Linked DNA regions of Schizosaccharomyces pombe. Changing the gene in region 3 together with the main gene of any one other region gives a genetic interaction. Each region holds a gene or a part of one and is shown on either strand. Other genes may lie near its edges.

What was found. Genes that interact genetically often act in the same process or in processes that back each other up.
Region 1: of sap1 (region 3) and swi3, extra expression of one rescues a mutant of the other (dosage rescue), as found in Schizosaccharomyces pombe (one study listed by BioGRID).
Region 2: mutations in sap1 (region 3) and uve1 impair growth when combined (synthetic growth defect), as found in Schizosaccharomyces pombe (one study listed by BioGRID).

The regions. Positions count from the first base shown.
Region 1 is NC_003423.3:3,090,359-3,093,775, reverse strand, and holds swi3 (replication fork protection complex subunit Swi3), read left to right. Parts: upstream 1-1,919; 5' UTR 1,920-2,248; coding exon 2,249-2,415; exon of another isoform or gene 2,416-2,473; coding exon 2,474-2,852; 3' UTR 2,853-2,917; downstream 2,918-3,417. Other genes in the region: isn1 (IMP 5'-nucleotidase), read right to left, coding at 377-463, 514-1,436, 1,486-1,693; SPOM_SPBC30D10.05C (sepiapterin reductase), read right to left, coding at 3,036-3,417. UniProt on the Schizosaccharomyces pombe protein: Forms a fork protection complex (FPC) with swi1. FPC coordinates leading and lagging strand synthesis and moves with the replication fork. It is required for programmed fork-pausing which is necessary for mating-type switching.
Region 2 is NC_003423.3:2,837,072-2,841,567, forward strand, and holds uve1 (endonuclease Uve1), read right to left. Parts: upstream 2,515-4,496; coding exon 715-2,514; 3' UTR 501-714; downstream 1-500. Other genes in the region: tRNA methyltransferase Ppm2, read right to left, coding at 1-312; integral nuclear inner membrane protein Bqt4, read left to right, coding at 3,786-3,826, 3,864-3,895, 3,935-4,034, 4,097-4,150, 4,197-4,496. UniProt on the Schizosaccharomyces pombe protein: Endonuclease for the repair of UV-irradiated DNA. Involved in the excision of cyclobutane pyrimidine dimers (CPD) and 6-4 pyrimidine pyrimidones (6-4PP) which forms the UV damage repair (UVDR) pathway. Also functions in oxidative damage repair in vivo.
Region 3 is NC_003421.2:561,073-565,783, reverse strand, and holds sap1 (switch-activating protein Sap1), read left to right. Parts: upstream 1-2,017; 5' UTR 2,018-2,666; coding exon 2,667-3,431; 3' UTR 3,432-4,208; downstream 4,209-4,711. Other genes in the region: SPOM_SPCC1672.01 (histidinol-phosphatase), read right to left, coding at 4,507-4,711. UniProt on the Schizosaccharomyces pombe protein: Binds to sequences required for mating-type switching. Makes a simultaneous contact with both the alpha and beta domains of the switch-activating site SAS1.

The DNA of each region.
Region 1 (3,417 bases), on a different chromosome or scaffold from region 3:
TTGTTTAGAATTTGCTTCTATGGCAAATTATCGTTCATGTCTTAAAGTTACTCTGAAAACTAATCAAGTACATACTGTATCTTTCTTTGAGTTATCACTATTTTTGTCTTCATTTATTTAGAGTTTTTATGATGTGAAATTCATGTATTCAGATTTAATGCTATTCCAAATCTTACATTGCATAATGCGCTATTAAAATTAGCAAAGAAATTGATATCAAAAATCAAAGATTAACAATGTATTGAACGATCATATATCTTTTGATGTCAAAACGCTTATATGGGTATTCATTTTATAAGTATAGTATAGCATTGCTGAAGTATAAGAAGAATATTTACGAATGTGTTTGCAGTATAAGATCTCTCCTCTAATTAAATTACTTTTTTAAAAAAGAGAAATAATAATCTAAAAACTCAATCGTCTCGTGGGGGCTGGATACCCAAACAGTGGTAGCAGCAGCTCTCTTTGAATAGGTGGTTAGTAATCTTCAACAAAAGTTTATTTCAAACTTACCGCTTTATAATCATTGTTACCAGCTGACAAGAATTGATCACCAACATGCAGACAGCGAGAAGGATGGGAAATATTAAAAAAATGCTGAAGGCATAAAACACCCAATTTCTTGTCACCAATATCACACCAAATATCATTTCCACCATTGAAAGCAGTAAAAGGAACTGAGAAATTTCGTATCTGCAACGTTGCTTGTGTCTCCAAAACAGCTTCCTCCAGTTGCTCCCTTCTCAGTTTTTGACCAAGGGAAGGTACAAATCCAACTGATCTTTCTTTACGAACTATTTTTGCATCAATGTTAAGTCCTTGAATGCAAGAACGAAGAGTTTCTTCAGCAGTATCCAAAATTTCGAGAATCTCATCATGAGGCCATGTTTTCATCACGGGAAGCATCCATGAGTCAGCATCCACCCATTGTAAACCATGCAGTGGGTCATAAGCAAATAAGTAATTGCTCTCGCCTCCTAATACATGAAGTTTCCGTTTCTGCCCATCCTTCAAGTCGCTGTCTTCGATTGCCTGCAATAATCCTGAAAATCTATCAGTATACTCCTGGCCAGTACGACTGGGATAGCCAGCAGCAGTAAGAATGATGACATAGATCCCCCTCGAAAGTAACTGAATCAAACGGGATATAACAGGATTGTCAGGAAGCAAAGGCTGCCCATCTTCGTACAGAGTTACATCTCCATCAAAACTGACCATATCCAAGCCATTATCCGCAAGGTAATTCAATTGAGCACCTCCTAATATTGCCCTGACATCGTTAAAACTCGGTGCCACAAAGCTTCGTTTAGCTAGACAAAGCTTTGGTTCCAACGCGTACATAGCTTTCACTAATGGCAAAGGTGTCCAAAATATGGTGATCGATGGAACAAGCATCTTTAACTGGCTATAGGATCCACCTTCTGAAACTATTTGAACTATCAATGAGAAAGGTTAGAAAATTAAAAGAATGAAGGGGAAACTTACTATGAGCCTCAATAAGTTTTTCCACATCTCTTAAAATTACAGCGTAACGCTCAAGCGTTTCCTGCTCTTTTTCGCGCGTTACTAGTTTCTGTGAAGGGGTTCCTGCCTGTAAAACAAAAGGAACTGACAACAAACCTTTAATCCATTCAATAAAATCGTCCTTCCGATGTTGCTTTAACGCATACTCAACACGATATCTAGAAGCCATTGCCTAAACCTTTAATGACAAACACTTATTCAAAAAAAGAAATCTACACGAATGCAAGAAATTTGAAGGAAAGTATGTTAATTGAAAGAGAAAGGGTAAAAGTTGCTTTATTATGCTTTCCGAAACGATTCAAAAATGATTACGTTGAGAATTGTTATACTAGTATTAGCAGCGAGCACTATCACTCAAATACGTCTATCACAATTCCAAAAATTAGCTATAATTTATGAGCATTCTTAACAAAATTTTATAAAAGTATATAGTCCAGGTGTAACATGAGCCTTCTGAACTATTCTTCCTCTACACATTTCTAATCCGCGTTAAATAAGGAATTTTCTTTCATTAGTAAATTATAAACCTTTCTTGCTGCGCAGTTAAATTTGAAAGGTTCTATTCGCTTTTCATTAGCAGTAAAGTCAATAGTACATAGAAAAATTGCTAGATTAACAGAACTTTTGAAGCGAAACAGCAAGCAAATCGATATTTATTGCATTCACTAACTCTCTTTTGCGAAACATACAAGCAAATATATATTTTAAAAAAACACCATAAGAAATGTCTACAGCTGCTTCTGATTCAGGTGTTGAAAAACTCGTCGAGGAAAACAAAAGGGAAGAGGTGAAAAAGAATGAAGAAGAAAAAGAATTTGATTTAGGGTTAGAAGAAAATCCAGATTCTGTAAAAAAACCTCGCAAACGGTTGGCAAAATTTGATGAAGAAAGGTAAGAATTTGGTCGGTTTTCGGAAAATAATTATTGACCACTCGTTTTCCCTATTTAGATTGATTTCTGAAAATGGAATTCCAAAATTAAGGAAAATGATGCGCAAAGTTAAGTTAAAAGGAAAGGGTCATGAGGCAAAAGACTTAAAACAACTATTGGGAATGTATCATATATGGACTCATGAGTTATATCCAAGAGCCACGTTTGATGACTCAATATCGTATCTTAAAACTCTAGGAAAACACAGATCCGTCAAGGTTCGACGTCGTGGTTGGATTAATGAAATTGCTGTTGAAAATGGTTCGGACTCTAATGCTTCATTATTTACTGGTCCATCTTCCAATTCATTAGTGAATTTGACGAGCGGAGATCCATATGTTCAAGATACAGCTGATGATGCTTTTGTCGCCCAAGACAACGATACCCAATTAGAATAGTCACCATTAATGAATGATTGAGATGTTGTTGCAGCTTTGTTTATCAATATTAGTAATCATGATCATTTTTTGGGACTATTTTCAGCTACTTTTATTTGATGTAATGTTTAATTTATTCATTTTGTTTTATTTAAACGAACAATTGTAGCCTCTAACTCCGAAATTCAATAAACTATAGAACATCTAGACAAATGATTTCCATTCTACGAATTGACCAGTAAGCTTTGGATTGTTATTCAAGGCTAGAAAAGAAAGAGCTTTGGCGATGTCCTGAGGAGCCACAAGTTGACCGGATGTTTTAAGTTCTTTGAAAAAATTATGAGTATCTCCACCCATGGCTTCTTTATTGGAATCATTACGGATACTAACTTGCATAGGGGTATCAACAACTCCCGGACGTACTGCCACACTCATTATATCAGGCTCCTCGCTGCCAAGGTTCATGACTAGCATGTTGATGGCGGCCTTTGAGCAACAATATGCAGCCCACGCGGGAAAAACACGAACAGCAGCGCCAGAGGATACAATCACAATAGTACCCTTGGTTTTACGCAAATGCGGGATT
Region 2 (4,496 bases), on a different chromosome or scaffold from region 3:
ACTTAAAAGTTGAAAGGCTAAGGGGTCGTATCCTGCACCTAAATTCACTATTGCCTTTCTTTTGCCGGTTTTATTCTTCAAAAACTGGTACACTGCAAATCGAATAGCCATGCATCGTGTCCAATAACCTCTATTTACGCTTGGCGATCTTCTAGGTGATTTCTGTATAAACGGTTGATAATAAGAATGTCCTACGGTAAAACCTGGATATCCACATTTTTCAACTGAGGCTTTTGAAAGAATTGAGCTGTCATTGGTTTTACGAACTTCTCTATCTTTTGACTTAGTTTTCCTTTGATTTTTGTTTGACATTGTATATGAATAAAGAGAAGCTCATTTAATCTTTCGAAGCCTTGAGAATTTTTGCAGTTAAGTTACACAAGCTTACGAAGATTAGTGGAAAGGAATTATAATATTGATCAGAAAACGACAATACCAATATGACCGGAATTGCTTAAAGTTTTACATAATTCGTGTAAATCGTAAATTACTAGTTTAAATTTTATATTTAATTGAAATGTTTTATTGAAATTTGATTGTAAATAAAACAATAACTTTTAGATTAAATATTAGCATGGACAGTAAGCAAATAAGAAAATAAATAGTACTCTAGTGAATTTTTTCGGAAATATCTAGAGCCAAAAAGACAAAAATGATTGCATTGAAAATGCAGATGGCTAAATTATGCCATAAATCAAAAAGTATGACGGATTTTTATTTTTCATCCTCTTCTACTTCTTCTTTTCTACTACGCCTTTTTCTTGCAGTTAAACGCTTTTCAGCTCCGGGCGGATAATATCCATCTCGAGTTTGATCGTATTCAGGCCCCATAATTTCAAGAGGACATGGTGGATTTTGTAACTCATAACGTCTACACAATTCAAATACAGCCTGTTCCTTTTCCTTAGCTTCTATCATTAGATCCATTGTAGGATCACACGGTGGAAAGTCAAACACCCTATCAGAGTGAGCACGTCGTTTCATCCCAGAAATCGCCGTTGGATCAGCCGATTCTGAGTAATGTTGCTTCTGTGTAATTCCCTTTCTTGTCCAGGTTTCTCGAATAGTTGGGATTAATGGCATTAAATCTAAACTTCCTTCACGAAGCGTTCCTGGCACTATGTTGTGATGATGCCAATCCAAAACTAGAGGAATATTAAGTTCTTGGCATAAAGGTAATAAATCTTGAACTGACCAAGAAACATCATCGTTTTCTAAAACTAAACGAGCTTTAACCGAATCAGACAAGCGTTGATAATTTTTACGAAACCTATCCAATGTTTCTTTTTTTCCTTCAAAGGTACCACCAAGGTGAATAATTAAAACAGCGTCTTTATTTAATTGTTCATTCAACTTCATACGACTGAGAATTTCATCATGATAAGCCAAATCACGTATTGCCGAATCAACTACGACTTCTCGTGGAGAGGCTATCTGGGTGTACTGACCAGGATGCATAGTCAATCGATGATTATATTTATTTGCCAGCTTGCCCACCTCCTCGAGATGAGATTGTGCAAATTCAAGGGTATATCCATACTTTGCATGGCTTGCGAAAGGAAATAAATCAGAACTCACTCTCATGAAGTGAATGCCAAAGTTGTGATTCCACTCAACCAATTTGATTAAATCTAAAACATTTTGCGTACCTAGCTGCTTGACACTTTCGAGCCCATCACGTTGAATGGTTGTAATTCGGCAGGTGCGTGAACAAAAAACCCTCTCCTTCATTGACCTTAAAATAGTATTCAAACAAGCATACCCCAATCGTCCTCGCCAGGGTATGGGTTTGTCCAAACAATCAAACATCTCTCGTGGAGCATGATCATCAAGATTCATTGTAGATTCTTTTTCTAAATTTTTTGCAGAAGAACGAGACCGTCTTCGTTTAGAAATTGGAGTTTCCAACTGTTCCGGCACAACCGGTTCGAACTCGTCAGAGCTACTTTCATTTTTAAGAGACTTTTCGTCGACTTCTTCAACATACTCCTCTTCCTCTTTTTGTTTAACTTTTTTAGTAGCTTTACTAATTTGCTCCTCCGATTCGGATTCTGACGAGGAATTGTAGTTGACCGGTTTTTTTGATCTCGACGATCGCCTAAGATGAGTTGAAGAATCATAGGACGCAACAGACTCATCAATTTTATCGGAAACAGAATCTGTCGCTTTCTTTTTACTGCTACGTGCCCTCTTTCGTGTAGACGTAGAAGTACTTTTTTTGTGAGGTCCACTGATATTAGCTAACTCAGTCTCATTTTCTTTTTTTAAGTCGACTGGTGTTTCGGCAGAGAATGAATTCGCACCGATATTAACTTGCGGTAACATTGAGAGTGTGGTTTTTGAGCTCATTGGAAGTAAACTTTTAAGGGTATCGGGTAAACAATGAAAACGAGAGTAAGTAATGGTACAAACCGACGGTACACAAGGATGATTACCTTTAAATGCCTTTTGTTTTAATATGGTGAAAACAATGCGTTTAGAGATTTGAATATTTCGTTTCAATAGCCTAAGCATTAAAAAATGAAAACGATTTTAGTATCAATATGACATTATTTAGAAGGAAATAAGCCCTTCGCAAACTTGCTTATATCCCTACAACTATTATCTTGTAAGTGAAAAGAGATATCGACAAGAAGTGATTGAGACTCAATACTAGTCAAAATCAACGAGTGTGAAGACAAATCTTCTTTCATTCCCAGTAAACCAAAAATGGTTTTGTATCATTGTTACGTCAAAATTCGCTATGATTTTATTGGAAGGCCATGAGATTACTGATGCTCAAGGGATTCAACTTTTGACAGTTATTGTTCAGTGTAGATAGGACTGCTTTTACGAGGAAATTTTGGTTTCTCAAATCGAGCTTAGTTTAGCAATACAATGTTAAGTAAAAAGATTGTGTTGCTTTCTCTTTAATAATTGCAGATTCAGTTGAACAATCAAAAAAACAGCAGATAGGAAAAAACATTTGAAATGAAAATTTGGCCAAGTCAAGGAGTCGCGACAATTTATTTTACCATCTGTAGCATATGTGTGTATGGGAAGCAGAAGTAGGCGGATTCGGGTCATTTATATTGTATTATGAACCGTCTTAATGCTGCTTTCTGCTGACATGGACATCTTTAAAAATATACAAACAATTACCGTGTAATTCACAATAGATTTAATACCATCAGCATTAATGAGTTGGTTGAGAAGCCATCATTGCGAAATCGCAATGTAGGTAGAGTAAACGAAGCGAATTGTTTACGATAAAATACAGTATATCTTTAGAACCGTAGATAGCTGCATCAGCGAAACGATTGGTTTTTTCTGCAAATACTATTACAACCAGTAGCATGAAGAACGCTTCTTACTGCCGCATCGTTTTTGCCGACCTGGCTGATCGATTGACAAAACAAACTTCTAGCAGAAATAAATGATCAGCGCTTCTTATATTTAACATTTGGCAGCGTGCTGCCCGCGTGTGAATATTTTCCTTAAGTTTGTATCCCAACAGAAAAGCGTAAAAAATTGGAACCACATTGAATCTTCAAATAAACAATATTAACATTACATTTCAGCATAAGCATCGACTATACATGACCTCGAGGTGTTTAAAGAATTAGTAATTCTTGCTTTGCACATAGTTTATAACGAAGTACGTCCTAGCATCACTCGATATTATCATTTAAGGTAGCACCACTATTGCTCTATACAATCAGCTATTACATAAACGTTGTAAGAGAGGAATTATACAAACGTCGACGACGGCGATTAATTGTTACCTTTCCCCTTAATTGAATACCATGACTGAGAATGAGAAAAGCAGGTCTTTACCTGCTGAAAGGTTCGTATATTTAAAGAAAACGACTAATTGATATTAGAAACCCTCTCTATAAAGACGATACACTTGACCGTACGCGCTTCCCGAAATTACGTGAAACTAATATAGCAGATACACCATTAATCCCAAAGTGTCGCGCTCAGGTAATAGAATTTCCTGATGGACCAGCTACTTTTGTTCGTCTCAAGTGTACAAATCCGGAATCTAAAGTGTAATTATCTTTTTTTTGCAGTGTTGTTTTTGGAAAAATACTAATGATGTATATAAATATAGACCTCACTTTCTTATGAGGATGGCAAAGGATTCAAGCATTAGTGCTACGTCAATGTAAGCGTTTTTTCATATCTTTTTCTAAAAATCTAAACCCGATTAGGTTTCGTTCAGCTTTCCCTAAGGCTACCCAAGAAGAAGAAGACTTGGAAATGAGATGGATTCGTGATAATTTAAACCCAATTGAAGACAAACGTGTTGCTGGACTATGGGTGCCTCCTGCAGATGCCTTGGCTCTTGCCAAAGACTACAGCATGACCCCGTTTATTAACGCCTTGTTAGAGGCATCCTCCACTCCTTCAACTTATGCGACTCCTTCACGCCCCACTGCGCAGAAATCAGAGACATCTGAGGGGGAACCTGAATCTTCGACATCTGCCACTACCACTTCTGTTGCTAGGCG
Region 3 (4,711 bases):
TGTCTTGTGTTGGAAGCACGCTTTGTTGTATTTTTGGTTCATGATCGTTTAACGAAATAAGATAGAAATATTAAATGTGCAAGCAGCAGAAAGATTGTAATGTTAAAGTGGAAAAGAGCCAAGTAGAGATATTGTAGAGGATACGATGTGTTTGATAGGGCGGAATTTTGTATATACTGTTTTTTCAGGTAGAATACAGGGAAAATGCTGAAGCGACGTTTGCAGTGTTGAAGAGATGACAAATACAAGACCTTTACAAAATGCATTCTAGTTTGATTTTTTTTTTTTTTTATAAAGTGAATTTTTTCAAGATTTTATTTTCCTAATTTTATTTTCCTAATTTTATTTTTTATATTTTTAATTATCAATTTTATTTTTATTTTATTTTTTTTATTTTCTATTTATTTTTTTATTTTGCATTGCTCATTCTTTCACCCAGAGTAATCACTAAATTAGTCTTTGTTTACAACAATTTGAACAAACAAGTAAATAAATGAAAATAATATTGTTGTCAGACAAAAAACAAGTTAAAATTAAATAAATAGAAAACTTGTGGCTCATTTGATTCTTAGTTATTCTTTGTTTACCTGCGAATTGTTTTTTATTACAATACCCAACAAGTGTTTTCATGTAAATCATTTCACACTCTGTATATTTTACTTTACATATATATATGTGTGCGAGTTGAATCATTTAGTTTCTATCAAAACTCTTTCTACTGCTCTCCCTCTAGATTCTTAATCGGTTTACTGACTCTTTCCAAGTTCTTAATTTTTTACTGCACTTTTTTTATAGTCTTATTTATTTTTAGTATACTCTTTCTAAAGCCTTATTCGGGTTACTGCCTCTCTATGTCGTCTTTTACTGTCTCTCCCTCTACATCCCTATTCATTTACTGCACTCCTTCCTACTCTCTTTTTCGTTTGCTTCCCCCTCCAAGTTTTGTTTCGTTGCAACAAGGTAGAAACAATTCGAATGGTACCAACAATTCTAGCAATCCATACAGACTCAACACCATACATTTCAAGGGTCGACCTCAGATTACTCAATGAAACTCTTGAAAATCAGAATGATCAACCAATATTCATAAATGCTTACAGCAACTTTTGTCGATTGCTAGCAATGATGCATTTAGGTGAAACAAAGTGTGGTCTAACAATGTTTAAATAAAAGAAAAGAAAGGAAAGAAAAGAAAGAAAAAAATAAAAAAAATACTTGATCTTGATTGTATTTTTATTTTCTTTTCTTTTATTTATTCTATTATTTCTCTTTCTTTTTCTCTGCTATAAAAGTGGCGACCATACTGCAATCGAATGAATGTCCACACTGCAAAAAGTGTATGGAAGAAAGCCCTAGAGTAGAAAAGGAAAGAGAAAAGCGCACAATAAGGAATGTTAAGAATAAGAAAAAAAAAGTTTCAACATACTTTATTTTAATTATTATACTGTGGTTTATTTCCTTATTCCAATTACAACAATGTAATTTACATGCTTATTCTAATTACTACAAAGTGATTTTTATCCTTATTCTAATTACTACACTTGATTCACTTCCTTATTCCAATTACAACGCTATGATTCATCTCCTTATCTCCTCTAATACCCTCCCTCTCCCTCCTTGCTTTACTCTGCGGGCATCCCTCTTCCCCCCCTTCATCACTCCCCTAACCCACTGGAACGTTGGGTTTGTTCGTTTGTGCAATCTTTTCTTATCTTCACATTTCCACCCACTCTTCCATCTCACTAATTCCGCTCCTGGGAGCCGGCAAATCAGCACCTCCTTATCCAATAATACGCAATCCACATGACGCCACCATCGTTGCTAGTCTTTCCATTCTCATCGCTATCGCACGTTCCAGATGTGGCGCCCCTCCTTATTCCTCGCTTTCATTGGCTCTCTCCCCATCCCTCGTTGTGACCGTTTACCAGCGATACCGTATGTCATCATTACCGACCGTGCCTGCGTTTTGGTGGCACTCGATCTTATTTACCTCGCTGCGCATCCCAACGAACGCTTTACCAACACCTCCAACACACTCTCCATCGTATTGCAGTGTCGTGTAGGACTTGCCTTCGTTCAGATCCTTAAATAATTTCATTCAAAATCGGTTTGCATTGCTTTCCTCTGTTTTGCTTTGCCCTGCCTTTGTTGGAAAACCTCTCTTACCTCTTCTACTTGTGTTGACTCACCAGTCAGATCAGCTTGGCTCTACTTGTCTACGACTGGAAGCGTCTTTTCACCTCTACTACAAACTTCTATTCTACTATATACTCTTCTCCTGTTTTGCTTTGCTTTGTTTTCTTTTGCTTAGCTTAGCTTAACTTGACTCGACTCGACTCTGTTTTTTTACCTTGCTTTTATACTGTTCGTCTAGTACATAGTATACTTACTATCTTGTTAGTTCCTCCTATACGATTCGATTGCTTTTCCATCTCGTCTCGTTTTTCTCCTCCTCTCACTTAGCTTTTCTTCTATAAAAGGTCGATTTTCATCCTTCTCCTTTTATATCCAAAGCAAAAGCTTTCTGCGACAACTTTTCCTTTCCTTTCCTTTTCTCTTTTTTTTTTTTAACTATACACCACTCTTCCCCTAGCGGCAATTTGGATTTCGGACAATCGAATCCAAATTCCACCTATAAATTATTCAAGACGGATCCCCTATTTTCTATGGAAGCTCCCAAGATGGAACTGAAGAGCTATAAACGAAAGAATGCTTCGTTATCTCCCAGTTCCTCTCCCGCCAAGGCACAGCGTACTCACTTGTCCTTGGAGGAAAAAATCAAGCTCATGCGCTTAGTCGTGCGTCACAAGCACGAACTCGTCGACCGTAAAACTAGTGAGTTTTACGCCAAGATCGCCCGTATCGGTTATGAGGACGAGGGCCTCGCTATTCATACCGAGTCCGCCTGTCGCAATCAAATCATCTCCATCATGCGCGTCTACGAACAGCGTTTGGCCCATCGTCAACCCGGCATGAAGACCACTCCCGAAGAGGATGAGCTCGACCAACTTTGCGATGAATGGAAGGCCCGTCTCAGCGAGCTCCAACAGTATCGCGAAAAATTCTTGGTTGGCAAGCGCAAGTGTGATTGCAATGATGAAATTAATGAACGTCTCAAGAAGCTCACTGAAGAGCAACAAAACGTCGACATGCTTGTCGCCAAGGTCAACTTTCTCTCCAAACATCTTCACGATAATGAGGAAAAATTAATGCAGGTAAATGCTAAAATGGATGAAGTTCTTGCCGAAAATAAGCGCCTTCAACAACTTCTCGATCATAACGATTTGTTGTCCAAGCTCGAGCCTCCCTCTGCTTACGCTCCCCATGGCGTTAACATGGGCACTAATATGGGTGCCAACATGGGCGCTAATATGAATGCCATTCGTGGCGGTCTCCATTCTAGCATCTCTCCTAATCTTGGTGACCATTAATCCCAACTTTTCCGCCCATCCTCCTCCTACCTGTGAACACACAACCTCTTTTCTTCGAGAATTTCGTTCTCAATCCTTGTTTAACTTATGTTGAGCGGTTGAATATAAATTTTTTTTCTTCTTTACTTTTGACTGACGGTCTGCTTGATGTAAATATCTTTCATTTCTCCCTCTTCCTAGTTGTGTGCAAGGCGAATCATTCGGTAAAGCTGGTTACTTCCTTCCTCGTAGGTATCTTTGCCCCTTTCCAAATAAAAAGGCAACGAAGCCTTTCTGTATGTGCGCTAGTTGGGTTGCTTCTATTTTCTCCGCATTTTCTTGTCTCTTCCGTTATTAAACTAATATTGATTTTTTTTTCTTTCAATCCGGACATATTAAATTCTTTGTTTTTTTTTATTTTTTGTCCTCCTTCAAACAGTTTCGGTGATTGCTTTGTTTTCGCTTTCCACCGCTATTTGCCTTTGCCCTCTTTCCCTTTCGCACTAATTCGTTGTCCTTTTTGCTTTCGTGCTTTATCCCAATTTCGTACGACTATCGTTCTTCCCTTCAAACAAGCTTGAAACAGGTACTGTCATATGTTTTGCAAGCAATCCTCCTTGCACTTTCGGTTGAAGCTTGACGAAAGCCCAATGGTCCCACCCATGCTTTGCTTGTAACGTCACATCATGGTTATCTCTTATTTAGAATAGTTTTTTCCCTTAAATTGGTTTCAGTAGTGTTGGCCATTAGTCGGCCTACTCAATTGAGTTAATGTACAATTAATACAATTTTAAGCGACAGAAATCTATGTATCGTAGCAATCGATAGTTCATGTGCAAGTGGAACAAATATTGAGACATCGTAGTACTCGTGTAAAACAAACAGTCTTGTTAAACGGGAGCTCCTCATAAATGGGATCATCATCCACCACAACAAAAGCTTTGCCGGCCATTTCATACGAAGTGATTGAAATATGGTGAATAGCTAGTTACTATACTTCAGGTGACCAAACAGTGTACTTTTGAATTTCCCTTGTAAAAAAATTTCAAGTCCAAAAATGGCCCCAATACGGAAACAAATTTAAACTGTATTACTTCTATGTGTTAGTTATTCCGTTTGTGCCAACGAATTTAGACCAAACATTGTCGACCGTAACATTTTTAACCACCGTGCCATTACCATCGGGGCCCTTTTCTATCATACAGAGGCTTGTAATACCGCATTTGTCCAGATACGACTTGGCCAAATGATAATTCAAGCCAACTTGATGTGGTCCATGACTATCGTCAGATAAAGTGAGT